Linked DNA regions of Tamandua tetradactyla. The protein of the gene in region 4 interacts with the protein of the main gene of each other region in a pairwise test. Links are inferred from orthologs where the notes say so. Each region holds a gene or a part of one and is shown on either strand. Other genes may lie near its edges.

The links.
Region 1: the proteins of PRKAB2 (region 4) and STX19 interact in binary tests that used the Homo sapiens proteins (3 or more experiments, as listed by UniProt). The link is inferred for Tamandua tetradactyla from reciprocal best matches to the Homo sapiens genes PRKAB2 and STX19.
Region 2: the proteins of PRKAB2 (region 4) and MAGED1 interact in binary tests that used the Homo sapiens proteins (3 or more experiments, as listed by UniProt). The link is inferred for Tamandua tetradactyla from reciprocal best matches to the Homo sapiens genes PRKAB2 and MAGED1.
Region 3: the proteins of PRKAB2 (region 4) and CRX interact in binary tests that used the Homo sapiens proteins (3 or more experiments, as listed by UniProt). The link is inferred for Tamandua tetradactyla from reciprocal best matches to the Homo sapiens genes PRKAB2 and CRX.

What each region holds. Positions count from the first base shown.
Region 1 is NC_135336.1:56,226,720-56,234,067, forward strand, and holds the start of STX19 (syntaxin-19), read left to right. Parts: upstream 1-4,343; 5' UTR 4,344-4,411; intron 4,412-4,419; exon of another isoform or gene 4,420-4,608; 5' UTR 4,609-4,657; intron 4,658-7,348. Other genes in the region: ARL13B (ADP-ribosylation factor-like protein 13B), read right to left, coding at 611-716. UniProt on the Homo sapiens protein: Plays a role in endosomal trafficking of the epidermal growth factor receptor (EGFR).
Region 2 is NC_135353.1:118,152,750-118,160,037, forward strand, and holds the start of MAGED1 (melanoma-associated antigen D1), read right to left. Parts: upstream 3,015-7,288; 5' UTR 2,937-3,014; intron 1-2,936. UniProt on the Homo sapiens protein: Involved in the apoptotic response after nerve growth factor (NGF) binding in neuronal cells. Inhibits cell cycle progression, and facilitates NGFR-mediated apoptosis. May act as a regulator of the function of DLX family members.
Region 3 is NC_135342.1:13,270,846-13,278,773, forward strand, and holds the start of CRX (cone-rod homeobox protein), read left to right. Parts: upstream 1-4,912; 5' UTR 4,913-5,056; coding exon 5,057-5,112; intron 5,113-7,928. UniProt on the Homo sapiens protein: Transcription factor that binds and transactivates the sequence 5'-TAATC[CA]-3' which is found upstream of several photoreceptor-specific genes, including the opsin genes.
Region 4 is NC_135330.1:96,052-103,461, reverse strand, and holds the start of PRKAB2 (5'-AMP-activated protein kinase subunit beta-2), read left to right. Parts: upstream 1-4,406; 5' UTR 4,407-4,584; coding exon 4,585-4,740; intron 4,741-7,410. UniProt on the Homo sapiens protein: Non-catalytic subunit of AMP-activated protein kinase (AMPK), an energy sensor protein kinase that plays a key role in regulating cellular energy metabolism.

The DNA.
Region 1 (7,348 bases), on a different chromosome or scaffold from region 4:
TATCTGTAAGCTACAGAAAGTATCTGTAAGCTTCTATATGCAAGAAGTCTATAGCATCATTTATTATTTCAAACGAGATCATCAGAACACAAAGTTGAACTACCAGGAAAAAAATGCATCCACTTATAAAAATGAATATGAGGAAGGTTTAATTCCTTATACCAGGAAGTTTACAGCAATAAATATGTATTAAGACTGATAGCCTAATGATCATTGTATGGAAACAAAATAAATGATTAAATCTACTCTGATCATCTTCCTTAAGGTTATATGATAAATCTCCTGAGATGATTTTTTTCAAAACTCATGATAATCTTTTCATTTGTTTAAATTTTGTATTTATACCTTCTCCCATTTTACAAAATTTATAGCATGACATACTGGTATAATTAAGAGGTACTGTCAGCAGTATCTTAAAACCTTATACACAAAGCAAATCTTAAAATCTCTGTAATCTTGAAGAATAGTTTATGGAAGTCAGTAAGTATGAAATAGAAAATATTCCAGTATATCAACAGAACACTGACAGTGTGATTCAGGTAAGTGTCTACCACCATTCATCATAAAAAAATTGTACTGAACATATTTCAAAGGACAGAAAAAAACTTACTATTTGACAAAGGCACTTGTGTTCATTGACCAATTTTTCTAGAGACAGACATTCAATCACATCAGCTTCTCCTAAAGCCCCTTCCTTGTCTTGCTTATTTGCCAATCTAGAAAGACAAGTGAAGTAGGTTTTATGACATAGATAATCAGATGCCACTTAAAAATATTTTGATAATATTCTTCCATTCAAAGTTTTAACCTTACTGATTACACTGGTTTTAGAAGATATTTTAGTAGTTATTTCATGATTTCCATTTGTTTATTATTGTGAAAATGAATTTTGTAAGAACAAGACTATAAAGGAAAATTATCAAGAAAATGTTAGTACTGAATAGGGAAACAAAAACAACTACAAAGAGAAAAATACAGTGAATTATTTTCCACAGCCCCCAGTCTAACAATTCCAACTTTCATATTGCATCTTTATCATCTTAAAATACACTGCATCATGTTGTAAGTGTCCAAATCTTTCATATGTTCATTCTGAGTTTGTAATATCTGAGCTCATCTACATTTCCAACATGTGTGTATATGTGCAAATAAATGTGCAATTTACTGGACAAGGGAGACATTTATATCTAATTTACATGTCATTTATAGCATTGGACATAAAAAATATGACACTCAATTAGGAACAAATTAGGAAACAACAAAATTTAAAATCCAAATAAGCTTCTAAGAGAAATAAGAATTACAATAAAATAAAGTGAATTTGCCTATTACATGGCAAAGGTAAAAAAGTTTAATGAATTACAGCATTGGTTAGGATTTAACAGACTCTAAGAAAGGATAGAGCTTTTAAAAATGCATAAAATAAGTCTAACAGACTCCTATCATCAACTTCAAAAACTATCAACATTGAGTTATTCTTGTTCATCTACACATCTTCCACTTTTTTCCAATTGGGTGACATATCTTTTCACCTGAAAACTAAAAAATTAAAATATATATGTATATATATATATTATCACAATATTGCTATCACAACTAACAAAATTAATAATACATTCTTAATATTACTCAATTCATTCATATTCCCCAGTATCTTTTTACAAGTAATAATCTTTAAATCAGGTCCAAACCAGATGAAGAAACTGCAGTTTATCTCTCAAGTCTTTTTTAATAGCTACCTCCCACCACCACCACCTCTTTTCTTCTATGACATTTATTTGTAGAAAATAAGTCATTTTCCTACGGAATTTCTCACATTTGAGATTCTGCTGATATCTTCCTCATGAGGGATTTACATACATAGCCTGCATTTCCTACACCTCATAGATGTAGAGGTTGGATGAGTTCCAGGTTGAATTCTTATGGCAAGTATATTTCATACGTGATGCTAACATTTTAGGAAGTATATATCAGGTTGCTTCACTTTTAGTGACATTAATATTGCTGAGTGGGTTCAGTCAGACTGATCCATCCAAAATAAAGTTCCCTATCAACCTTTCACCTAATGATTTTAGCAGCTATTGTTTGCCTTTGCTTAGTTCCATTATTCTACTAGAGTTTATAAAACAGTGACTTTTAAAGTTTAGTTCTATATGCCTTCTGCATTTATGAGCAGGATTTTTGCTAAAAAACAAACAAAAACCCTTTCATCAACTACTTGGTAACCATTAAATAAAATTCATAGAGAAAAGTTAAGGGTTTGAAACTTCCCTTCAGTTCCTAATTGAGAAAATGAATTTGTCTTCAGGCAATCTCCAAAGGTGATTAAGTTATTTCGTTTTTCTTTTGCTTTCTCCAAGGGCATCATTATAACTCATGGACATTAAAATATATTTGGTACGTTTCAAGCAATAGCAGTTGCTGTTCTTTTTGAGACTCCATGTTTCTCATCTTTTGACAGTGGCAGTCTCTTTCAGATGAGCTCCTGTGTCCTTTTGGTCCAATTCCAATAAATAACTTCTCTGCTTTTTTGTAAAAACAATTTCCCAGACCAGGAATTATCCATTTTTTTAAGAGGCCCTAGTTCCTTTCAGCGGTAAATGGCATTTTACAAGCCACAATAGGTGGACTATAAATATTCAGTTATTGACAATATTGTTATTTCTAGACCCTTTCAGTGGACAAAGCTAGAAAATATGTAGGTTTTTGTAAAAATAAATAAATACATCATGAGCTCATATTGATTGTTCTATTTCAAATCCAATATTACCAAGTTTTTGTTTAGCTTCTTAGATTTTATTTATATCTCTTCTTCTTTTATGTTGGAAACTATGGTTTGCAATGACATAACTATTTGCTTTATCTACAATATATTTAAGTAAGAGTTTCAATATAATAATAGCAATATTGTTACTGAAAGTAAGACTACTAAATGCACGTTGAGATCTTTGAAGTTATTTTTGTCTCTAGGATATATTTCACTAAAGATACAGTCAAAATACTGAGTTTAAAAATTACTTGAAATAATATTTCTCTGGGTGGTTATGCCACCAGCTGTGTTCAATTGTTTCAGGCTGCTTTCTTCAGAAACACTTTCTTTTTAAATAAAGATTTAATTTTTAAAACATTTATATGGCTCCAAATTGAAAACTATAAAAACAAGGTGCTTTTGGAGAGAATATTCTTCCATCTTTGTCCCTTTCCCCCCCTCTATTTTCCTCTATTCTCCTAAAGGTAACCATTTTCATTAGTTTATGGTTTATCTTTTCATTATTTACTTTTGAAACTATAAATAACTATACGGAGGAAACGATATTTTAAAGATCACAATATGGACACTAAGTATATCTACTGCTATTGACTTGTCATTCTTCCTCAAAAGCTAGATACTATATACTCTTCTGCACTATAACATTTTTTTAAGTAAACATTAACTCCTGAAATTGTTCTATAGCAGTATAAAGAAATCATCTTGATTACTTTTTATAGTTGCATAATGATATACCATTGGATATTCAATTGTATGGATATACCATTGTTTATTCAACCAGCAGTATACTGAATGACTTTTGGGTTGTTTCCAGTCTTTGGTTTTTACAAAAAGTGCTGTGAAGAATAGGTGCATGAGAAGTCACTTCTTATTTTGGAAACAGATTCCAAGAAGTGAAACGACTAAGTAAAAGAACAAATGCAAACATTTTTTAGGTATATATTATAGCAATATTTGTATTCCCTCCCTCCCCTACCAAAATCATAACAACTCAGAAATAAAAAAAGGAAGGTAAGGAATTTTATAGAATAAGAGAAGTTTCATTTGTTTTTTCCTATAAATATTTATCCTCTGGCAAATATAAATTTTGAATTGTTAGATTATTATAGTAAAGAAATTGTTTAACATATATTGTTGCATAACTTCAGTTCCTCTATACAGAAAACTATGGAAGAAAGTCACTTGAAATTAAAATAGCAGATACAGTAAAATGAAAAGTGAGGTGAAAGGCTTTAAGCTACAAACTCTTTTTTTGACTGTTCTAGTTATGAAATTTTATGATTTTATGAGCTAAGCTCTATGAGACTTCCTAAAATAGAACGGAATTCAATCATTTTCATGTTAATAAAAAAAAAGGCCTACACATCAAGATTCTTTTCATTCCTATTTATTCCAAATTCTACATCTTTGCAAGTTTTGATACCTAAAGAAAATAAAAAAGTAACCTTGTTTAAACACAAAGTCATTTTTTGTGAGGAATGTTTTTCTATATAATGTATAACTACGATTACAGAGTTGTGCCAAGTACTCCATGTAGGCAGTTTAACAAGGACTTCCTGTTACCGACTAGCTCCAATGAAAATGATCTTTAAGCTAAAGAATGGGCGTCTAACAGGCAGAACCGGATTCTCCAAGTGTGAAGTAAGCAATTTATCCTTATACAGTATTAACAGCAAAAGAACTTTATCTCCAACTTATTTGACCTCATTATTTGGTTTTCAGTAAAACTAACTGTATGAAATCATACAGAAATTAGCCTGTGAACTATAGGATGGAGATTTAAATAATTCGATCAAACCATTACATGAGATAATACTCAGATTTTCTCTCCAAAGCAGGACTCCAACATCGCACGTGGAAAATCAACAAAAGGAACAAGACAGAAAGGTAAATAAATCTTTTTTGCACTTTTAAATATCAGACACCCATAGACTGAAATCTGATTATACTGTGACATTTAAAAACAGCTCAAAAGATCATGAAAGTTACTTCTTTTGCTCAGATTTGGACCAGGCTATAGGCAGCTGATTTGTTCCTATATGCTACTGATTTACAGAAAGGGATTTGGGTACTGGATTTACAGCCCTTAGAAATATATCACTATAAACAAAAATCAACTTCAGAGGAAAGGACTTTTTTTTTTAAAGTCTTTTACCAAACAACTTCTCACTTTGGAAACACTAGAAAGCCAGGTCATATAAAAACAAACAAATTCTTTTATAAACAGACTGTAAATTAAACATACTGTGCTTGCCTGAAAGAACACCTTTACATTTAACCCTCAAAAGTTTATGCTTAACCTTTATAGTTAAGCTAATTTTCTACAAGGTCTTAATTTCCTCAATGTGGTTTCCCAGAATTTTTAAAATTAATTTGAAGAATTTAGAAAATAATCTTAATTGTAAAAAGACCACTGTAAAATATCACAGTACCCAGTTACTTTTTATTGTTTGTTAGCGTATTGAAAGTACTCAAATTATACAATATAAATATTATATTTGATTTGATAATTTGAAAAATTTAATATATTTAGATAGGTCTGATATTTTCAAAATTAAACAATATTTAGACACTTAGTCTGAGCCTATTTTATTATTTGACATTTGTTTAAAGTTATCATATAATTATCACCAGGTTAGGATTCAATAAGCAACATATTTGAAATTAAAATAATAGTGACTGAATAAGTGCTTTAAAGTTGGACTTGAAAGTTAGTCATTTAATACTTAGGATTAATAACATTTTACCTTCATGGCTACACAGTTCTAAATTTAACACAGAGGCCATTCTGTGTATATACAGTTTACTTGAATGAGATAAGTGGGAGTTCAAAATTAAACAAGAGTTTATTATTTAAGCAAAAATAAACTTACCATTTTACAATTATTTATAGTAAATAAATAGCATTTAAAGATGTTACAAAAAAGTCAGATAATTTAAATTATCAGAGAAAGAAGATTTGCAATTTACAATAATTTTGTTAGTCTGTTTATAGAAACCACTCTTCTGCCCTCATTTAAGTGACCAGAGAGTAATATTCCAGTATTTTCAGCTTCTTTCACCTTGAACTAGGGAAATTTGCAAGTTATCTTCATACACAAAAGCAAAAGAGTATTTGATGTTGGATAAAAACTAGTTATATTTCTTGAACTATGCTACTAAATAGAATAGCTCTAGAAAGGAATGTATTACTTAAAATATATATATATATATATACACATATTTTGTATAAATAGATATATATACATTTCTCTTAAAGCCCTCTGTAATTTTTATTCCTGTTCCTGTCCTTGGAAATGTTTCCTATCTATAATAGGGTGGGGAAAGTTTTATTTGAGTCACACCGTTTTTTTTCCTATCTCTCAGAACAAATTGTCAAAATTTATTACCATATGTATAAATTAGTGTTCTAATTTCCTGTTTTCAAACAGCATATTTAAGCTCAAAGATATATTAAGTTATTGCTAGGAGAATTCTATATAGCAATGCAGTAAGATAAACATGCTGAAAGACGATTCATATTTGGTTAGAACACTTCCAACATTAAGAAAATAAATTTAAGGTACAGAAAAGATTGTGTAAAATGATGGTCTACTCAATTTTATCTAACCTAGGCAATTAAATTATTTCACAACTATAAGATTAGTATTTTTCTATCTTTATGAACTCTGTCTCTTCTAATCTTAAATTCTAATAAGTTTAATGTCTCATTTTATCTAATTTCAATTTGTGAAGACATAAGATAAGGCAATAAAATTGGAAATAGTTATACATGAAATGATAAGCATGCAACTACCAGAAAATACAATTTATATACAGCATGCAGATGCATCTAAGTACCTAGTCAGTCAATTTCAGCACAGAAAAATTATCTTAATTCTATAATGATAATAAACTATGACTTTTAGTTCAAATGTACAGATACAAAAATTCTTTCCTCCTGCTCCAAACACACAGAAATTTTTGATACAATCTTAACCTTAAGGAAAAAAAAAAAGACAAAATTTAAAATACTCATTAAATTTGAAAGTAAGAGAGAAAAATTTCCAGGTGCCAAAAATGAAGAAGGAATATACTCATAATAGTCGAAGCGCATAATAGAAATTGAAGTTAACTCCATGGGCCTACTGAAAGCAAATATTACACCTTAGAAGCTGGGGTTAGTTTGTGCCTAAACAGGAAACTAAAATTGGATTTCCTAGATGTAGTCCTGTACTAGGAAAAATAGAGCATATTCTTCATACACAGAGAGGAAATTCTCAGTTGGCTTAAACAAGATTCTCAGTTAGCTTACTCAGGATTTTATAACCTATACTACCCCTCCAGACTATAAAAAATTGCTAGAGAAAAATCAAGCCCATATTTATATCACTCAGGCTACAGTGGGTAAACTCCAAGGGGCCCAAGTTATGATAACCACAAAAATAGACTCAGAATATTTCCCAACAAGAGGAACAGCAAACACAACAAACAACGGAATTTATATTTATACCTGAGAAACCAGAAATAGCTGAAAAATGTGAAGGATCTCTAGCATAAATATATTTAAATGTTCAAAAAAAATACATAAAGACATAG
Region 2 (7,288 bases), on a different chromosome or scaffold from region 4:
CTGGTAGGGGGTACAAGAAGGGCTTTCCAGATACAAATTGTTGATCTTCATAGTGGTTACACAGTTGTGTTCTCTTTGTGAAAATGTTTTGAGGTGTACACTTATGATATGTGCATCTTTCTCTATGAACTTTAAGTTTACTTAAAAATAACACCTACAATTTTCAAGTGGTTCACTAAACCAGATAAATAAAAAATAGATGGTTGGATAATTGGATGGATGGATGGATGGACAGGTGAAGACAGGAAGATGACAGATAGAGGAAGCTAATATAGCAAGTTTAAAATTGTTGAATCTGGGTTAGAGTATAACAGTGTCCACTGTACCCTTCTTTCAACTTCTGCTTGACTGAAATTTTCAATAAAAAATATTAACCTAGAGACAGATTTTGGGCTGCTAGGCCATCTGCTCTCCTACTACATGCCTAGCAATAAACTCTTTCTCTCCTTGAAAAAAAAATACTGAGCTAAAAATACTCATCATGTCTCTCAGCACTTAATATCTGTAAGTAAGGAGTACTGTGAGCACCTGATATATTCTGACTTGTGAAAAGAAACTAATATAAAAAATGAAACGCCTATACCCAGACTGACTGTGTTTCATAGAATAATAAAATAAAATATTCTGCATATTTCCTATTGCTCAACAATAAACAGAGAGAGGGAGAGAGAGGGAGAGAGAATTTGCCCAGGACTGAGAGTCTGACAGACCCTAACTAGATGAATTCTTTTGCCACCATTTATCAAGTTACCATACCCCTCTGAGTCTTATTTTTATCATTAGTTAAAAGACAATGATACTGAACTTAGAGGATGACTTTGAATATTAAGGGAAAAACTATATTTAAAAGCATCGGGAGAACAGACACTGAATTCCTTTCAATTACCATGTCAAACATTTATGGGCAATATTTTATGAACATGGAGTGATAAAAATCAGTAGGAGAGTAAGCAAATGTGCTATAGGATCACACACAATGCATCACAAAGAGAATGGGAATGAGGTGCAGATGGAGACATGCTGGTGGCCAATAAAAAAAAAGGAATATGGGAAAATTATGAGGACGGATCCAGTTATTCAAGTATAAAGAAGGTTCCACTATGACTCTGCAGAAGGGCTCTATGATAGGGTGTGGGAGAGGGAGAAATGTAGAAGGCAGAGTGAAAAACAAAAGCAGAGCCCCTGACACAGATATATTCTGTTTCCCAGTAATATCTGAATAATTTGTGCCCTCACTTTCTTCAGGTCTCTGTTGAAATGTCACCTTACCAGGGAAGTCTTCCTGACCATCCTACATAAACAGTACAACCCACTCCCATCATAATCTATCATATATTTATTACATATAAATTTACTTAAAAGACTTTGTTTATGTTTTTCACTGCTGTATTCTCAGAGCTTCGAATACTGGCTCATAAAAGTATTCAATAAAAAAATTATTGCATGACTAAATGGATGGTTGCAAAATGGGTTAAAACCAGTATGGTGACATCTAAACGCTAAGTAATAAAGATCTGAATAGAGAATAAAGATAGGCCAACAACATTATCCTTTGAAAAAGTTTCTAAGAGTTTTGGTTCCATGAAATCTCTGCCTCGTATATTCTAAAAACTGAAAATTAGATCTAGACTAGAAAAGAGAATCACAACTTATTTTGGCAAGCATAACACCCACTAATTACAGCAGGAAGAAGAGGAAGGAGTAACTTGGTTTTCAAGATCTTTGGTTAAATATCTCTTCAAAGCTGAAAATTCTTTATGAAGATAAATTTAACGATCCGTTCCCCACTCTTGGGTAAAGAATTGAAACAAAAAATTGTAATTATTAACATTCTCACAAGATAAATTTCACATGATGACAAACGGAACAGAAAGACACATTTCACATTACAGCAAATTTTTTAGAAAAAGATAAAGTTCACATCGCAACAAATAAATCACATTGCAAACAAATAACACTTGCAAACTCCTGGGGGAAATCTTTGTCTAAAAAATCTGCCAACTTGCTATTCAATATTGCTACCAGAGACCAGAAAAGGATTTGCTTAATAAACCCAACTTACATGAGGGAATATATTTATGATTAGATGTCATTCCTGTCAGCCACTTCTCTAAGAGAAGTACTAAAGGAGATGGGAAAACTTCCACCTCCAAACTGTGACACGCAAAATCCTCTGTATTTGCCCACACAAAAAAAATTGGGGGATTCAATTTTATGCCATCATGTGATAAAAATGCCACGAGCAGAAGGCAACAATTGTTGTGTAATAATGTTTAGAGTAAAAAAATAAAAGGACATAATAATTTGAACAATTCTTTATGTCTCTTAGGACGCTGATATTTCTGCTTCCTTGCTTATTTTTTTTAAAGAACTAAAAAAACAGCCTTGACTCTGAAGAGGTCAAGCTTGATTATGGAAAATATGTTATTCGCTGACCTCGGCAAGAGGAAGAGAAGAAAGATAAGGAGCCAGCAGAGGGAGTAAAACACTGAGGTCCGAAGGAAGAATGACGCTCAGAGTAGGGGACAGGGGTTGCAAAAGGTCTGAGGCAGAAAGGGGGTGGCGTGGAAGATGGCGGTGGGAGGTAGGAAAGAGATCTGTGGGAGAGGGAATGACTCAGGATCAGAAAGATCCAGAAGAGGATCCGGGATAAGAAGAGAGGTGAAAGAACACGAACGGGGATCACAAGAATAAAAGGCGCACCGCAGTCAGGAGGGGGGATGAGAGCCTGCCATTCCTGAAGCGCGACTGGGGCGGGTGGGGGAAGGGAGCAGCGCGGCGATCATAACCGGAGGCGCCACAAGCTTTCTTCACTCAGTGTATTCTGGAAAATGAATTCCGCTTATTTCCACACCACGTGGAGGCAAGGAAGGAAGCTTCCAAGGGTCTACTGGGTTTCATTTGTGAGATTTATCAGTCCCCTTCTTTACACTCACCTTAACGAAGAAAGCGGCGACGACAGCGTGACCGGAAGCACTCTTTTTGTTTGGCGGAAGCTTTACCTTCTGCAGCCTCTTCCCCGCCTCCTTCATTCCAAGCAACTTCCTGTGTCTCTCGTAGCAAGTTCTGCAATATATGCTTTAGCTCATAGGCTTTCTCACCAGATCAGAACCTTGGATAGTTATGTAAACCGAATTGACCAGAGAATCAGTAACATTTTAAAAACCCTTCCCTAGTTATCCAAGAAACCCAGAAATTCTTTATCTCTGCCTAACCCCGAATATGCAATGTCACCTCACCTTGTTGATTCTGCCTTAGATATATCTCCTTTCCCCCTTACGCCCTTAATCCAGGACTCATTATCTTTTTCTCCTATGTCTACAGTTAGATACTTATACTCTTTTGTTTCATGGCATACTATTTGGAATAAAAGTTCATTTTTATTAGAGATATACTTTGATTTCAAGATTTTGTAAGCTTAAATTTGAATCATTTTTGTCTTACATGATGTATATAAATTTCCAAATGAGTAATGGTAAACTTGTTTAGAAAGCATTCATCCTGATTACTCTGCAAAAAGAGGAAGAAAATGACAACTGACAAAAATATTTGAGTAATAAGAATAACCCTTATTCTGTTTCAAAGACTTACAGAATTATTTATTGCCACTACCTACAGAAAGCTCTCCCAAGCCCCAAATTTGCACACCAATTCTCCATTTTTGTGTGGTCATTTTTCATTAGTCCACAAGTGTATACTAACCGCCTACCATATCTCCAACACCATACAGTACCTAAAGGCATTCTACTAGGAGCTCACAGTTTGGTATGAATAAGTGATCATAATGTATTCAGGGCAAAGTCAGGGACAGCACAAGATTCTTGTTTTTGCTGATATTTGTATAATTCCTTTCAAAAATTTCGCTCACATTTTCTCATTCAACCAACAGGTTTTGAGCATCTACTCAGTGCAAGGTTCTGTGACTGTTACTGCCTGTACAAAGAAGAATAACACATTCCTGGATTCCAAGACTCTACACCCAATGGGGGAGAGAAACAAATAAATACCAGGACTGCAATGTGACAATAAAACTTAATAAAGAGGAGACAATGCAGGAACTATGTCTATTGACTCATGAATTTTGGACGCCCAAAAGAGACTTTATCTCCTACAGAGTGCACAATAAAGAATGGTCGAATATTGAATAAATGAAAGGGGAATGGCAGCGGAGATAAAGCACACTGTAAAAAGAACAATGGTGACCAGCATGGCTGCAGATATGAAAAGAGGCCATAGAGGCATGAATCTTGTTTACCATGTTATGGAGTTTGGACTTAACTATCAGGAAAACAAGAAGCCAAAGAAGGATTTTAAGCAAAAAAAGCGTGTATTCATGAGACTCAGAGTTAGAGCTCTGAAGCTATGAAAGTCAGCACCACCCCATGCAGGAACTGTTTATAAAGTTGAAAAAGGGATCAGACTTCGAATAGAGATATGAATGAAACTGATTTGGATAGGATTAAGGTATATCAAAATGCAGGGGAAAGGATGATATCATCCATATTTTATAACTTCAATTTCTGTCTAAGACTAAAGAGAGAAAACGTTATTGGGTGCAAAATTTTTATTTTGGGTAGTGCATTTCCTAATTTAACTTGTATGGTAAGTTTAGTTGGACACAATAAGTACATGAAATCTTGAATAGAGCATGACATTTTCTTGGTTTGTTCAGGTTAATGTGGTGCCCCAATATATCCCAGAGTATTTGGGGCAGTGAATAAAAAAGTATTTGCAAAGTCCCCTTAGGGGACTGGGGAGAAAAGAGGAAATATTCACCTTCCCCATTTGGAGAATTTCTGATATTCTCACAAGCAGTGGGGACAGGCAAACCAATAGGTCCAGCCTTCGATCTTGGGGTTTGCCCTTAGGAAACATATTCTGCAAAGGATAGGCTAAGCCTACTTAAAATTAGGCCTAAGTGTCACCCCTAGAGAACCTCTTTTCTTGCTTAGATGTGGCCCCTGTCTCTAAGCCAGCTTGGCAGGGGAAATCACTGTCCTTCCCCCTGTGTGGGACATGACTCCCAGGGGTGTAAATCTCCCTGGCTATGTGGGACAGAAATCCTGGGATAAGCAGGGACCCAGCATCAAGGGATTGAGAAAGGCTTCTTGGCCAAAAGGAGGAATAGAGAAATGAGACAAAATAAAGTGTCCATGGCTGAGAGATTTCAAGTAGAGTTGAGAGTTTATACTGGAGGTTATTCTTTTATTTTATTTTATTTATTTTATTTTTTATTAATTAAAAAATTAACTAACACAACATTAGAAATCAATCCATTCTACATATGCAATCAGTAATTCTTAATATCATCACATAGGTGTATGGTCATCATTTCTCAGTACATATGCATCGATTTAGAGAAAGAAATAGCACGACAACAGAAAAAGAAATAAAGTGCTAACACAGAGAGAAAACACAAATAAAAATAAAAAGTACAAAAATATATAAGAGAAAAAAGAAACAAAAAAAAAACTATAGCTCAGATGCAGCTTCATTCAGCGTTCCAACATAATTACATTACAATTAGGCAGTATTGTGCTGACCATTTTTTTTTTTAAGAAATCATACCATTCTACATATGCAATCAGTAATTCTTAACATCATCACATAGATGCATGATCATCGTTTCTTAGTACATTTGCATCGGTTTAGAAGAACTAGCAATATAACAGAAAAAGATATAGAATGTTAATATAGAGAAAAAAATAAAAGTAATAATAATAAGAACAAAACAAAACAAAACAAAAACCTATAGCTCGGATGCAGCTTCATTCAGTATTTTAACATGAATACTTTACAATTAGGTATTATTGTGCTGTCCATTTTTGAGTTTTTGTATCTAGTCCTATTGCACAGTCTGTATTCCATCAGCTCCAATTACCCATTATCTTCCCCTGTTTCTAACTCCTGCTGAACTCTGTTACCAATGACATCTTCCAAGTTTATTCTTGAGTGTCGATTCACATCATTGGGACCATACAGTATTTTTCTTTTAGTTTTTGGCTAGATTCACTCAGCATAATGTTCTCTAGGTCCATCCATGTTATTACATGCTTCATAAGTTTATCCTGCCTTAAAGCTGCATAATATTCCATCGTATGTATATACCACAGTTTGTTTAGCCACTCGTCTGTTGATGGACATTTTGGCTGTTTCCATCTCTTTGCAATTGTAAATAACGCTGCTATAAACATTGGTGTGCAAATGTCTGTTTGAGTTTTTGCCCTTAATTCCTTTGAGTAGATTCCCAGCAATGGTATTGCTGGGTCGTATGGCAGTTCTATATTCAGCTTTTTGAGGAACCGCCAAACTGCATTTCACAGTGGTTGCACCATTTGACATTCCCACCAACAGTGGATAAGTGTGCCTCTTTCACCGCATCCTCTCCAGCACTTGTCATTTTCTGTTTTGTTGATAATGGCCATTCTGGTGGGTGTGAGATGATATCTCATTGTGGTTTTGATTTGCATTTCTCTAATGGCCAGGGACACTGAGCATCTCTTCATGTGTCTTTTGGCCATTTGTATTTCCTCCTCTGAGAAGTGTCTATTCAAGTCTTTTTCCCATTTTGTAATTGGGTTGGCTATCTTTTTGTTTTGAGTTGAACAATCTCAGTATAAATTCTGGATACTAGACCTTTATCTGATATGTCGTTTCCAAATATTGATTCCCATTGTGTAGGCTGTCTTTCTACTTTCTTGATGAAGTTCTTTGATGCACAAAAGTGTTTAATTTTGAGGAGCTCCCATTTATTTATTTCCTTCTTCAGTGCTCTTGCTTTAGGTGTAAGGTCCATAAAACCGCCTCCAATTGTAAGATTCATAAGATATCTCCCTACATTTTCCTCTAACTGTTCTATGGTCTTAGACCTAATGTTTAGATCTTTGATCCATTTTGAGTTAACTTTTGTGTAGGGTGTGAGATATGGGTCTTCTTTCATTCTTTTGCATATGGATATCCAGTTCTCTAGGCACCATTTATTGAAGAGACTGTTCTGTCCCAGGTGAGTTGGCTTGACTGCCTTATCAAAGATCAAATGTCCATAGATGAGAGGGTCTATATCTGAGCACTCTATTCGATTCCATTGGTCGATATATCTATCTTTATGCCAATACCATGCTGTTTTGACCACTGTGGCTTCATAATATGCCTTAAAGTCAGGCAGTGCAAGACCTCCAGCTTCGTTTTTTTTCCTTAAGATGTTTTTAGCAATTCGGGGCACCCTGCCCTTCCAGATAAATTTGCTTATTGGTTTTTCTATTTCTGAAAAATAAGTTGTTGGGATTTT
Region 3 (7,928 bases), on a different chromosome or scaffold from region 4:
TATTACTGAGATGTAGGGTAGAAACCTTATCTATTCAATAAGGTCTTTGCAAGGGATGTTTTGCTAATACTTTCTGGAAAACTGTACCTTGCAGTTCTTTAAGTTAATGGAGTCCTTGGGAGAGTAAACTTTTTTTATTTTGATGAAGTCTGATTTATCAATCTTCTTTTATATGATCACTGCTTTCCGTGTCCTAAGAAACGGATGCCTATCCCCCAGTCAAGAAATATTTCTCTGCTTTTTTGTCTAGATTTATGGTTTTGCCTTGATGATCCACCTCAGACTAATTTGGGGGTATGGTGTGAGGGAAGGATCGAGGTGTATTTTTTTTATGTGTGATAACCAGCTGTTTCAGCATTGTTTATCGAAAATATTTTCCTTTCTCTGATACACTGGCCTCTGTCAAAAATCAATTAACCTTAAATTTTTGGTCAAGTTCTGAACTGCCTGGTCTTTCTCAATGATACATTTGCCTATCTTTATGTAATACCAGCTATCTTGATTATTGTAGCTTTATAATAACAAGGTTTGAAGTGTGATAGTATAAGTTCTTGATATTTTTAAGGTTTTTATTGACCGATCTAGACCATCTGCCTATCCATACAGTTTTAGAATCAGCTTGTCAATTTCTACAAAAAAAAAAAAATCCTGTTGGAATTTTGATTTGGGTTTTGCAGTGAATCTAAAGATTAAGTTTGAGAAACCATATTGGGTCTTCCGACCCATGAGCGTGCTATATTTCACCATTGAGTTGGGTCTTCTTTAATTTCTCTCAGCAATGTTTTTCAATTTTCAGGCCAGTCGTGTGAAAGGAGCGATGACAGGGCTTGCGGATGGATTGGCTGTAGGGTTGAGGAAAAGTCCCCGGGGGAAGACTAATGCTCAGGTTTCCGCTTTGGTCCCTGGGTACAGATGAGAAGGAAGGAAAGAGCTCCTCTTGTCCCGGATGTGAGGTGAGCCTGGTGACCCCAGGACCTTGCGCTCGACCATCCGAAACCTACCTTCCACCCTGGGTTGGACCCCCGGGCCACCCTTCCTTCCTCTGCTCTGCGGGCCAGAAGGCCCGGGATTCTCGCACCAGCAGGGTCCTGACAGGGCCACGGAGGGTCAGAAAGCCCCTCCCTCCCTCCCATCCTGGCTTCCCCAGCTGATGAGACTTGCCCTGATTCCCCAGCCAGGCTGCTGGGCGTGACCCCTCCTAGCAGGCTGCCCTGGGGTGGGGCGGGCTGGGAAGAGAAAGGGTCTCCTAGAGTCAGACACAATGCCCCTGTCACAAAGAGGGATGACCGCACGTGCGTGTGCAAGCGCGTGTGCATGTGGGGAAGGAGAGCAGACTCATAGGGGGGCCCGGGGCTCAGGGAGATCATAACATCCAGAGAGTCAGACTTGAGGAGAGAAGCACAGGGGGAAGACAGCCCAAGAAGACAGATGGGGGAAATCAGAAGTACAGAGCAAGGGAGGCGCCAAGGCAGGGAGAAAGACAAGACGTGAAGGGAAATTAACAGGGGAAGAAAGAAAGAGGCAGAGAAAGATGCGGGGAAAGAAAGATTGAAACGGGAAGATTGGAGGTTGAGAGGGGTAGGGGAGTTAGATAAAGGACAGACGGTGAGGCTAAGCTGGGGATGGGGCAGATGGAGAAATACAGCAAAATGAGGGACAAAGAGAAAGACGGGTGCAGGGAGATACAGGCTGAGCGAGAGAGACAGAAAGGGGGTGGCATGGGACAGAGAGAGATGGACCGAGACCCAAAGAGAGGTAGAGAATCACAGAGGGAGGGAGAGAGACAGGAGGTGAGAAGAGTGCACACAGGGAGATGGACCGACATGCCTGATGGACAGAAGAGAGACTGAGGCACAGAGACGCAAAGCCAATGGGCAGGGAAGACAGAGAGAGAGAGGGAGAGAAGGAGAGAGGAGAGAGAAGAGCAAAGAGGAAATGGAGAGAGTTGAAGTTAATAATTCACAACATAGAGCCGAAGAGACAAAGAAGAGTGAAAGAGACCAAGGCAGAGAAAGAGAAAAACAGGAAACTGAGGCAGAAAGCTGAAACAGCAAGGCAGTGCAGAAATGAATTTGTTGGCAGGCAGACTGCTGGAGCAAAAGGGGGACTCAGCAGAGGGGTCCAGAAAGTCCCTGTGCCCCTCGTTTTATCAAGTGATCTCCCAGGAGCACCCAACATTTCCCCTCCGTCCTCTTTGATGCATCCCTCATCCCCCTCCTTGGGACAATGGCCAAAGCTAGAGAGCCACCAGTTAGACCTAAGGAAGAACTTCCCTGAGGGGTGGGGGTGGGGGGGTTCCGGCCAGAGGCAAGAGCTGGGGCTGTCCTTCCCCGTCAGCCCTAATTGCCAAGATGTCTTGGAGGGGGATGGGAGAGGATTAAGCAGAGGGGTGCCCCTCCCCCTCCCGGCAATGTCACCTCCCGGTGCCCAGGCGCTCCCCCACCCTGGCCAGGATTACCCTCCGAGAACCAGGCCACGGCAAGTGACATCACTCCCAGTCGGGGCTTAAAACCTCTCCGTGGGAGGGGTCCCGTTTCCTTCGGTCTCTGTTCCCTGAGGACTGGTCCAGGACCTGGGCCGTCGGGAGAGTCCCCGATCCCTCCTTCCAAAAGGTGAGTGCGTGCAAGGCAGGCAGTGGGGCCAAAGGAAGGAGACGGGGATGGGGGAGGGGGTGTCTGCCTTCTTTGTGCCTGTGTCCCCAGCGCCCGGCGTGGGGTCTGACATAAAGGGGGTCTTCAATGTGGGCTGACTGAGCCCACCTGCAGCAGGGGCATCATCCCGGTGTTGGGAGAAACGGGGCTGGGCTGGGACTGCAGCAGGAGGGAGTAAGGGTAGACTATGGGGGAACTGCCACCAGGTAGAGAGGATTGGGGGGTGGTGCTTGCTGGTGAGGTGCTAAGGTGACGCTCCATCGGTTTTCAGGGACCAGGGCTCCTCGGCTCTGCTCACAGGCAACTCCGAAGCCTGCCTCCCTTTCTTTTAAGACTCATATCACTGCTTGGAATTCATACTCACTTGTGAGTTTATCCACAAATTATCTGTGTCCCTCACCGAACCCAGATTTCCTCCAAGGACCTGGGCATGTGGTCGGCCGCCTCTGTAATGGCTGAATAGACAGACGGGTGAATAAGCAAAATAGAATCCAAGAAATGCGTATGCAGGGGTCATTGAGATTTTGCGGCTGCAGCAAGAGGGAGTGAGGGTAGACTCTGAGCCAGTCCTGGGAGCTCAGGGGCCAGGAGGGCCACAGGCTCGGGGAGGGGCCGGGTCAGCCACTGACCTGCGTGACAGCCCCAGGGCCCTCCTTTTCCCAGCCTTGGTTTCCTCCTTGGTGACAACAGGACCCACCCCATAGGGGGCTTTCACTGGATTGCTGTCTCCTCCCCAAGGCCTGGTGCAGGCGGGAATCCCTGGAGGTCCTTATCGTTAACAGCCTCCTGACCTTGGCAGGCACCTTCCTGCCCCAGGGCTCAGTTTCTCCACCTACAGGAGGGGTTTATCTCCAGCTTTCACACTTAGCCTGCAGATCAAGCGCTCAGGGGAAACTCGGGACCCCTGGGACACGCGATACCTGGAGCTCTGAGAAGCAGTCTCAGGCCTCAAGGGCTGCTCCCCAGGGCAGGGGTCGCCCCTCGCTCCACCCTTTGGGACAATGAAATGTTGTCTTGGAATACAACCGAGACTGAAGGATAGTAAAACCTAGCCACTCGGGGTGCTGTCAGGCTCGTTGCAAATTCCTGGTGGAAGGGGGTGGCCTTGCTGAGATCTTGGACACAAAGCCTTTGGCTGGGGATCTGAGAAGCTCCAAACTCCTGGAGCTCCTTCTGTCACCGGCTGCCTCACCTCTTTGCAAAACCCACAACAAGAGTGTTAATGGGTGTTAGACATTATTTTTTGTTGCTAGTCTTTGCTGACATCTTGTCCACCCACCAGTTCCTGGATATCTGGTGAGTGTGTAAACCCTCAATTCCTGGAGGTCATTGCCATTAGCATTGCTGGACCTTGGGCAGGCGCCTTCTTCCTTCAGAGCCTCAGATTCCCTACTGGTGGAATGGGCTCATCCCAACGTCCTGGAAGGACAACTGCATAGCTGAGTAACCTGTGCAGATTCAACGATGGGGACAAGGGAAGTTGGTGCTTTTTCCCAGAGCCTGTTAGGACAAGTCCACCAGTTCCCCTCTCCACAAGTTCAGATCAAGCACTATTGCTCCTTGGAAGAGTGGACGAGGGCAGAAGGGTCCCCAGCTGGGAGAGCAGGAATCCCAGGTCCCCAAGATTCCTTTAGGAAACTGGGCAAGTCATTTTGCCAGATCCAGGAGTCTTTTCTCATCTGTAACATCTGGGGTGATGGGACGTTTTGGTGATGGATGGTGTCAACAGTCACACAACATTGTGAATGAAATTAATACACTGGATTGAATACTTGAAAGTGGTTAAAATGAGACATTGTATGTTGTATATGTGTTACCACAATAGTAATAATAATAAACAACCACTACAGAACTGTACAACATTAGCATGAACCCTAGTGTAAACTATGTACTTTAGTTAATAATTGAAATATAATAATATTGGTTTGTCGGTTGTAATGGTGAAATCTGTGTGTGTGTAGTATACGGGAATTCTGAACCCTCTGCATGATTTTTTCCATCAACCTACAACTGCTCTAAAAACTAAATAATCTTTAAAAGGTGGGCAAAATAATAACACAGTTCCTACCTCCTAGGGTTGTGCTGAGCATTTAATGGCATGCTGCAAAGGGGACGCTTGTGTATTACTTACCTATTGCTGTGTCACAAACTCCCCCAAAACTCAGTGGCTGAAAACATTAAACATTTATTACCTCATAGTGTTAATGGGGGTCAGGAATCCAGGGGTGGCTTAACCAGATGGTTCTGGCTCACAAGGGGGGCAGGCAGATGTGTACCAGGCTGCAGTCCTTCGAAGGCTTGATGAAGGCTGGGGGAGTCTCTTCCAAGGTGGCCTCTTGCGTGGCTGCTGGCAGGAGTTTCCCTGCACAGAGACCTCTGCAGGGTTGCTTGAGCATCCTTACAACATGGCGGCTGATTTTCCCAGCGATCCAGGAAAAGACAGCAAGGCAGATGTCACCAGGTCTTCTAGCCTCAGAAGTTAGAGGCTGTAATATTTCTATAAGATTTCTGTCATGTCCTGTTGGCTACGCAGGTCAGCTCTGCCATGGAGGCCAGTACTCAGGGTATGACGGTCAGGAGAGAATGGTCAGGCACCATCTTGGAGGTTGGCTACCAGGGCTGGATGTGTGGGATTCCGTGCTGTCATCGTCCTTATCTGCACAGAACTTCGTATGCCCGTCCCTCCTGGCCCTGCTGATTCGACTCCGCTTCCCACTTGCTTACTCTGCTCCTGTCATGTTGGACACCTTGTTTGTCCTCCAAGAAGCCTCCTGATCTTTTGCACCTGCTGTTCCTTCTGCCAAGATCTTCCCAGGGTGGGCGTGTGGGCTGTCACATCTCAGCTCCGGTGTCACCTCCCCGGAGAGACCACCCCCCCCTCAAATGGGGCTCCACTCCCACCAGATCTGGTCACCGTCCTGCCTCCCACACCCGGCATTTCCCTCGGCATTCTAAAAACCATCTGAAAACATCTTGATTTTCAAAAAATCTATCTCTTTGTTCATCGTCAGTTTCTCTGACTGCAACCCGTAAGTTCAATTGTGTGAGAACAGAAATGACGTGTGTTTTATTTCTCATGATATTCCCAGTTCCTAAAACAGGCGGACCCTCAGCGGTACTTAACACAATGAACAGGAGAAACTTAATTTCTAGTAAGTAGGACCTCTCCCTACTCCTGTGAAGGATAAGATGGAAGAGAGGGGGTCGTGGGTGCTAAAATAAATGCCATCCATTTTTTATTCATTTGTTTATTTTTCAAATATTTATTGGGGATGCTTGAACTAAAAGTTATGTCTAGTCCCTGCTGGTAGAATCGGGGGACAGACAGACAAACAAACATGTATGTCCTATTTAATATAGGGTATGTCCTGAATGACAGGAGAGAGAGAAAAAAATGTGCCGGCGTGTATGTGACGCCCAATGTAGAGGGTGAGAGATGGTGTCTGAGTGAGAGGGACCTGGTAGAGGAAGGGGGCTTATCTCAACCTTTCTGATGTGGGGAGCGGCTGAGGCCAATACCCAGAAAGGCTGACAGGTTTCCTGGGTCCATCTTGAGGGTTTGATGTTTGTCCCCAGGGCCATAGGGAGCTTGGAAAGTTTTCAAGTTGTGGTTGTGTTTTGAGATCTCCTTGTTGGTTTTGCATCTGCAAAGGTGACACACAGGCACACAGGGCTAAAAAGTAATCCAAACTGTAAAAATGGGGAGTGGATACAGCACACCTCTCCAGAGGCAATCAGTTCTGCCAATGTCTTGTTTCTTTCCTGGATTTTGTTCTATGCATATACAAGCATATATCATATGACACTTTTATACACATACAACAATCTTTAGACCATATATATATATATATAGTGTATGTATGTGCATATATATATATATATATCCACTGCCTTGTTTTTAAATTCACAAAAAGTAGCATATGCTACACACTGCTCAGTACCATACTTTTTATTTGAATATATGTCATGTATATATGTATATAAAATGTGTATTATATGTATTATATGTTATGTATTTTATATGTTATGTATAATTTGATTATACATAACATCTATTACACACACCTCTTATAAAGGTGTAATTCTGAAAAAGCTAAAAACTTGACTCTCAAATACCTATATAATAAACACAGGTCAGGGATTTATTTAGCTCACTAAGAAGGGAACCTGCTGTTTCAAATGAGAATTCAAGGAACAGAGGTTCATACAGTTATTCAAGAAAAGGCATGTAGAAAAAAAATTTGCCAGGTTCAACACAAAATTTGTTAAAGTTCTACAGGACAACCAATAAAACTGCAATCTTTGAGGTTATCTTTTTACCGGATAGAAATCATTTGCAACCAGAACTTCTAGAAGTTATCATCTACCTGACACTGTCTACCCCAATCAATAATAAATTCAACATTTCCCTAGAAAATGAAATAATCCTAGAGATCTTTGAAAATCAGTTCATGGAGAACAGCCTTACTCTTTTTCATGACTTCATAATATTCCCCTTGTGTGGATGTGCCATTATTTTCTTAATAATTTTCTCTTTTGCAAGTCTTAGAGGTTTCTGGCACTCTTAGGAAATCATAAATATCCTGGGTTTAAAATGCTTGTATAAAGGACCTGCTTGCAAACAACAACAAAAATAATTGCCTTACTAAGCATTGGGTGCTATTTTAAGCACCTTAATCGTGTTAATTCCCTTTAATCTTCACAACCACCTAAAGAGGTAAATGCTGTTTTCATCCCATTTTACAACAAGGAAACTGAGGTACGCCCTGAAGGCAAGTTACTGGGGCCAAGGAAATGTGGCGATTTACGCAATCCACACTGCGACCACCTGACACAGGGAGCACGCTTCTTCCCAAGGAGGCAATGCTAAGAGTTAGCGACCTCATATCTCAGCCAGCCTGGCAGCTCGCTGGCTTTCAATCACCCATCCCTGCTTACCGGACTGGCACAGCTTTAGCACTGAAAGCCCACCTGTGTCCCAGGACAACTGGTCAACCTCCGCCCTCTGTATCTGAAGCCGAACGTCTTTTCCTGTGGTCATAAGGAAGAAAAGATCTCAAAAAAGGGGAATGGTGGATCAGATTTTCATAAGGATAAAATAGTGATACAGGCTTCCATTTATGCTGCTTCTCTTAATTTCCAGGGTTGCTGTAACAGAGTACCACAGCCTAGATGGCTTAAATAATAAGGAATCTATTGTGTCCTGGCTCTGGAAGCTACAAGTCCAAAATCAAGGACCAGGCTTCCTCTTAAAGGGGAGAACCCGCTCCACGTCTC
Region 4 (7,410 bases):
GTACAGCAGAGATGGGGTGCATAAACAGAAGTGGCAGCAGTGCCTAGTGGAAGTGGGGAAGGCTGGGAGACTTTTTTTTGTAAATACATGAGGTTGCTCTAGGAAATTCTCATTGGTAACCCAAGGAGGCTCTATAGGTCACTAGGATCCTGCAGCTGATGACAAAGCAGTGAAACTGAGTTTCTACTGTCACTGTGATCCCACTCTAAACCCCAGACAGGTGTGCCCTGGAGAAATATGATTTCATTCAGGGTGATGTCCTTGAGTCATTAAGGAAAGATACAGCTATGTTCACTGCATGTGTTAAAGAAGACAGAAAATTTACTTTATGTTAACAATTTCAATATTTTTTAAAGTTGAGACAAAAACATAACCCTATGTGTGGTAGATCATGTAGATGGCTGCAATAATAACTCTCGTACCACATGCTCTTTTATGAGTGAGCTCACCACTGTCTAATCAAGAGGTGAAGTCTATTTCCCCTCTCTTTGAGTTTGTGCTGGCCCTGCTACTACTTTAGCCAACAGAATGCGGTGGGATGGATATCCTGGGTCTTCTAAGCTTTTAGCACTCCGAGGTAAGGCAACCACCATGTCAGAAGTCAGACTAACCTGAGACTGCCATGCTATGAGATAAACCAAGCTAGACTCATGGAGAAACAATAAAGAGAAAGAGATGCCCAGTCAGCCCCTTGCTGTTCCAGCCATCTCATCTGAGGCACCTGACATACGACAAAAGAAATCATCTAGGACATTTGAGCCTCAAAATATACCACATGAAGCAGAGATGAACCATCCCCACTGATTGTTATATAACTGTGAACAAATAAATGATTATTGCTATTCTAAGTTAGGTTTGGGGAGCTATGGAATAGAAAACTGAAACTCTGCTTCAAGGAAAACCCATATGCTTTAGTTTGTAAACTGCTGGAATGCAATATACCATAAACAGAATGGTTTTTAAAATTAGTGGGGAAAATTCTGGACCTGTAAATTGGGTCCCTCCTCCTTTCATTGGGCAGTGCATGGCCTTCACTACCACTTCTTAGTTTGTATAAAAATATAAATTCAATGGTTCATTTTTAAAAATAATCAGTTTATGCAATGGTCAAGCAATCTTTGTATAGAAACTTGTATCTTTCCTCTTGCTAGAACTAATTTTGATAATTATATTAGGTTGGACAGATTGTTTTCATTATTTTATTGAGGTATGATTTTCATACAGTACAGTTTTGACAAACACATATATCACTGCAATCAAGATACTAGAACTGTTCCATAACACACCCAGCCCCCCCAAATTCCTCATTGTGCTTTATAACCAACCACACCCCCACCCACAACTTCCAGTCACCACTAATCTGTTTTCTGAACCATAGTTTCGCTTTTTACGAATGTCATACAAATGGAATCTTACTTCTTTTGTTAGTCTAATGCATTTGAGATTGATCGATTGTGTTACCGGTATCATTTTATTCCTTTTTATTGCGGAATAGTGTTCCATCGTATGGCTAGAACACATTTTATTTATCAGTTCATTACGGGAGGGAGTTTGTTTTTGAATAAAAACAGGTAAGTCATAGTACACATAAACATTTGTGCACAGGTTTTTACGTGAACCTGTTTTTATTTCACACAAATAAATACCTAAGAGTGGAATTACTAGGCTGAATAATAAGTGTATGTTTAATTTGTAACGTTTATACAAAAGAGCCGATTGCTTTTTGAAATGAGAACCACCAAGACCAGAGGTCACATCCATTCTTGATCACAAATGAGGGGTGACCCCTGGTGAGCAGAGATGGGATGAGAAAATCAGGCCCTCAAACCAGTCTAACTTTTCATCTAGTTCTGTAAAATCAATACACTCTTCCTCCAGCCTCACATCCTCACATCTCAGAAGAAGCAGGACAACTTTAGTACCTTTACTGTGCTGTGAGGCCCTCCCATGATTTATTTTTCTCAATCTGTGAGGTAGAATGGCTCATCAGAGATCTGGCAATGCCTTTCTAGATATAGCAGTAGCATGGGGACCCTCACCAATTACTTTGCCTATTAACTATTTCTTTTCCTTCCATCCTGAAAGAAAATGGAGCATTTGAGATAACAGCAATAAAACTACTGCCATGGTTTAGGGGTGCTTCTTTACCTGGTCATCCCTGAGTCTAATCAAAAATAATAATCGGGGGCTAGGGAGAAGTACCTAGCCCTTCCTACAGTGTCACACTGCTTTCGTTTTGTGTCTAAACCATGCACTATGCAAAGAGGACTTTTATTTTTAACTGTTGATTGATTTATAAATGCTATTAGTGCAGAACAATGTCACGGATAATCCCCCCAAAATAATAATAATAGAAAACAGTTCCATTTGGTTTTGAAATACGGTAAATTGTAAACAGTTTATTTCTCTTCTTAAGTTTTCCATAGATTAATATAATACTAGGTTTGCTTTTCCTAAACTCATGGGACGATGGCATGGATATACATATTAGGGACACATTTAGCATGGAGAAACTAGAGTCTGAAAACTAATTCATACACAAGTCAAGATTTAATGTATTATTCCTTCAAGGGACTTGAAGGAAAGCCTGAAAGGAACTAGGGGGATGATGAGCGTTAATCAAACAGAAGTACTTATCAAGATTTAGAAGGAAGCTGTAGCAAAAAGGGTATTTTCTTCCTGCAAACTGCCTTTGGTCAAGAGTCAAAGGAAGTCTGACTGGAGAAGGGGCATACCACAGAAGAATAGGGGAGAAGTGGATTCGTTGAAGTAAAGTGAATTTCCAACTTCATATAAAAATGTATTTTTCCACCAATAGAGCTGCTTACTCAGAAAATGCAGCCTTGCTGTGGCTCGGTGGTCCCCATCATCGGCTGGGTTTAAGTAAGACATATAGTGATCATTTGCACACTTTCTTGCGCAAATCTTTATTAAAAGCTTACTCTGCACATGATTCCGTATGGATCATGAACAGGAATCAGAACTGAGCCTGTTCTGCCGGTTTTGATATTTTTAATGTGCCTACACATACCAGGGAGATGTTAGAATGCAGACTCTGAATCTGTAGGTCTGGGATGGGGCCTGATTCTGTATTTTAATCCGATTCCAGGCGACACTAATGATGTCTGTGGATCACCAGTGAGCGGCAAAGGGTTCTAGTAGGAAATGAGACATGCATATAATTATAATTACAATACAAAGCAGTAATTAGTCACCAGCACAGAAGCTCCATTAATTATCAACAAAAAGCTAAGACGGTCTTTGCCCTTCTATGCAACCACTGTTTCTTCTGTTTTCATTAATGCTGTTTCTTCACTACTGTTCCTTCTGAGGCTGCTGTTGCACTCGCCTTAGCCTACAACAGCCTTCCCCCTCCTCTCCTTGGACTAGCATTTTACTTGTTTTTCAAGGTCTACTCCCCTACCACTCCTTGAAGCCTTCCCCGGGGCCGCAGTCGGTTAACTGCCCTTTCCACTTGTCGCTCCAGACACCACCCAGCGTAAACCTGGGGCCGTAACAACGCTTCCTTCTGCCGGGACGCGGAGGCCCGCTTTCTCATTCCCCGCCCGAACCCGACTTCCCAGCGGTCGCTCATCAGCAAGACACCGCCCAGAAAACGCTCCGGAGACCGGCAGCAGGCAGGCCCGACGCTCGCGGCATGGCGGGCGTCCCTCAGCGCCGCCGTCTCCTCGGCGCCCCCGGGCCCTGCCCCCACCGGCGGGCGGCTCTGCCGAGCGGCCCATCATCCAGCGGCGGCGGCTAGAGAGGCAGCGGGACCCGGCGCCGCGAGAGGCGGCCTCGGGGAAGGGCGAGGCGGGTCCTGCACGGCGGGCCTCGCAGCCACTTCAGGAGGAAACCCGGGTCCTCGCCCTGGGCGGTCTCATCTGCACAGCAGCCATCGCACCAGCGGCCCTGGAGGAGGGAGAGCATCGCGGAAGGTGATGGCGAGCGGGGGCGCCCGGGGGCAGGGAGCACGGGCTGGCGGGGGCGCCCGAAGGCGGCTCCGGAGGAGGAGGGGCCTGTGAGGGGTCGGGACGCCCGAAGGCGGCTCCGGAGGAGGAGGGGCCTGTGAGGGGTCGGGACGCCCCAAGGCGGCTCCCGAGGGGGAGGGGTGAGGGGAGGGGGAGGAGGAGGAGGGGCCTGTGAGGGGTCGGGACGCCCGAAGGCGGCTCCCGAGGGGGAGGGGGGAGGGGAGGGGGAGGAGGAGGAGGGGCCTGTGAGGGGTCAGGACGCCCCAAGGCGGCTCCCGAGGGGGAGGGGCCTGTGAGGGGTCGGGACGCCCCAAGGCGGCTCCCGAGGAGGAGGAGGGGGAGGAGGAGGGGCCTGTGAGGGGTCGGGACGCCCCAAGGCGGCTCCCGAGGGGGAGGGGGGAGGGGGAGGAGGAGCCTGTGAGGGGTCGCGGCGCCCGAAGGCGGCTCCCGAGGAGGAGGAGGAGGAGCCTGTGAGGGGTCGGCGGTTTCCGGCGCCTGTGGAAGCGCGTCCTGGCCCGGCCTCGGCCGGCCTTCCTCTGCGGGGTTCCCCTCGGGCTCTCGGCGCAGGCCCGGCCGAGCCGTCTCCATCCTAGGTGGGCCCCGCGCGGCGGCCATGGGAAACACCGCCAGCGAGCGGCTGTCCGGGGAGCGCCACGGCGCCAAGGCTGCTCGCGGCGAGGGCGCGGGCGGCCAGGCCCCGGGCAAGGAGCACCGGATCCTGGTGGGGAGCACGGACGACCCCAACGTCTTCAGCCTGCCCGACCCCAAGGTGAGCGCCCCGGCCTGCGCCGCTGCGGTGCGCCTGGTTTCGGGGCGCCTCTTCCTTCTCACTGGTCTGGGTTGAGGGTTTTTTTAATTAGACAGATTTTCTGGCTGGCCTCTAGCGAGGCAGCCTCAAAAATAGCATAAAGAGGTGGAGTTATTTTCCTGGTTTTCTGACCAATCTGTGGCCGCCTTTTAGGACGGGACTAACAGACCCCCCAGACCCCTCGTTCTTCTGGCGGGCCTGGGGGCTCTTCTGGAGGACTGCTGAGCTGGACATGGTTGCGGAGCTGCTGCGCACAGGCGGCAGTTCTCTGCCCCCGAGCTGGGGAATGGAGCTCAGCGCCTCTCCCTCCGCCGCTCTGGCCGGGCTCTCAGCCGGAACCGTGCTCGTGGAACCTTTATCCTGTTGGAGACCAGTGAAGGCCGGCCACACTGGTGACTGTCCACTCTCCACCCTGCGCCTTCGAGTGGGGTGCCGAGGCAGTGCTGCTGCCGCGTCCAGGCCCGCGTGTTCGCGCGTCTCGGCTTCCCCGCAGTACCTCGGCGTGGCCACGGCTCAAAGAGACCCACAGCTTCCCTGGAAGGTGGTGACTGCCCCGTGCTTGTTACCATCCTGATGCCTCCGTCCGTTTTGGAGTGGTTAGCATTGACTGTCGGTCCTGCACCCCGCTGGCCGCCTCGGGGGGGGGGGGGGGGGATGGTGACACGGGAGGGGGGGAGGTGGCGGGTGTTCGGTGACTCGTCCTGCCCGCCCGCTGCCCCCGAGCCGGGCTGCCGAGAGTGGAGGCCGTGTCTCCAGCCACACTGGTGGCCTCTGAAATTGGGAGTCCGTGGTGCTGGTATTTTCTTGGATCCTGATTAAGAAAATAATCACAGAGAGAAACGCATTTCTGGGGGGTTCTTTACCCCTCCTTTTCTCCCTGCCCCACATCAGGACTACTAAATCCTTTAGGCTGTCTACACAGCCATTAGATTATACTCAAGGTGACGGGCCTCATTGTATTTTTAACCTTTTCTTACGCTGAAGACTCGGGATTTAAGTTTTTTTTAAAACTATGTGGCCTTAATTAAAGCCACGCTTGCTGTCTTTGAATTAGGGTCAGTTTTGGATCTTTCTTTCTCTCACCGCAAACTTGCTATTTGTGAAGTAATGGAATTATTTTAAGTAATTCCTAAGGTCTCTTCCAAATAAAATTCTGAAATTCTGAATCTGTCTTCTTCATTTCTTGCCTCAACGTTTTTTTTACTTAAACGCTTTCAAACTCGAGACTAGTTGTTTTGCTTCTGGGAAGTTTTGCTGACTAACTTGGGAGTAAACAGTCTTTCTGTTGTCGGCTGTCCTCGTGCCTCCCTCAGAGATGCCGTGTCTTACGGGAAAGGGCCTTTCTCCAAAGCTAGGCATATTAATAGTTTATGCCTTCATATTTTAAATGTAAAATCCAAAGGCATAAAAGTAACTGATAGAAAGGGTGATAGTGAGAGTCACTAAGGCATTGTCAGCCTTCCTTAGTTCGGTAGTTCCTAATTCTCTTTGTACCTTTACATAAGCCAATACCTTATATAATTGGAAGTTTTCTTCAGTTCTCTCTCCATTTACTTTGGATTGTGTTTCAGAGTGTAATTTTGAGGAATATCAAGAGACAGTAGAGAAGGTAAGCTACTGCAACCATTTTGGAAGGAAAGCCCAAATGAATAAGTCATCCTTTTTTTGTTTTGTGTTCCAGTAAAGTTTTATTTGTGGACACAAATGGATTCCATATCATCCTTTATTTTTAACTAACATTATTTTTTGTGGTAATTTTTTTTCCTTTTCTATGAAAAGTAATATATATACAAAAAAGCAATAAATTTCAAAGCACAGCACTATAATTAGTTGTGGAACACAGTTCAGAGTTTGATATGGTTACAGTTCCACAATTTTAGGTTTTTACTTCTAGCTGCCCTGAGATACTGGAGACTAAAAGAAACATGAATTTAATGATTCAGCACTCATACTCATTTGTTGGACCTACCTTCACTGTATAACTCCACCATCACATTTGATCTCTCTCCTACTCTTTAAGGGTATTTGGGTTATGCTCATTCTAACTTTTTCATGTTGGAAAGGTCTGCCACTAATATGGGATAGGGAGATGAAACTATCTGATGTTCTGGAGAGGCTGGGCCCTCTAGGTTTCAGGACTTATCTGGTCCAGGGACCCATCTGAAGGTTGTAGGTTTCTGGAAAGTTGCTCTAGTGCATGGAACCCTTGTAGAATCTTACATACTGCCCTAGGTGTTCTTTAGGATCAGCAAGAATGTTTTGGTTGGGGGTTGGCAAGTTATGATAGGTAGTAATGCCTGACTGAAGCTTGCCAAGAGTGACCTCCAGACTAACCTCTAAACTCTATTTGAACTCTCTCAGCCACTGATACTTCATTACACTTCTTTTCCCCCTTTGGTCAGGATGGCATTGTCGATCCGACAGTGTCATGGCCAGACTCATCCCTGGGAGTCATCTCCCATGCCTCCAGGGAGACGTTCACCTCTGGAAATCATGTCCCACGTATTTACCTATTTACTAAAGCTATTTAATCCAGTCTAAAGAGGGGATTGGCAAATTTTTTCTGTAAAAGTCCAGATAATATTTCAGACTTTGCAGCCATATAGTCGCTGTATAACTACTCAGTTCTGT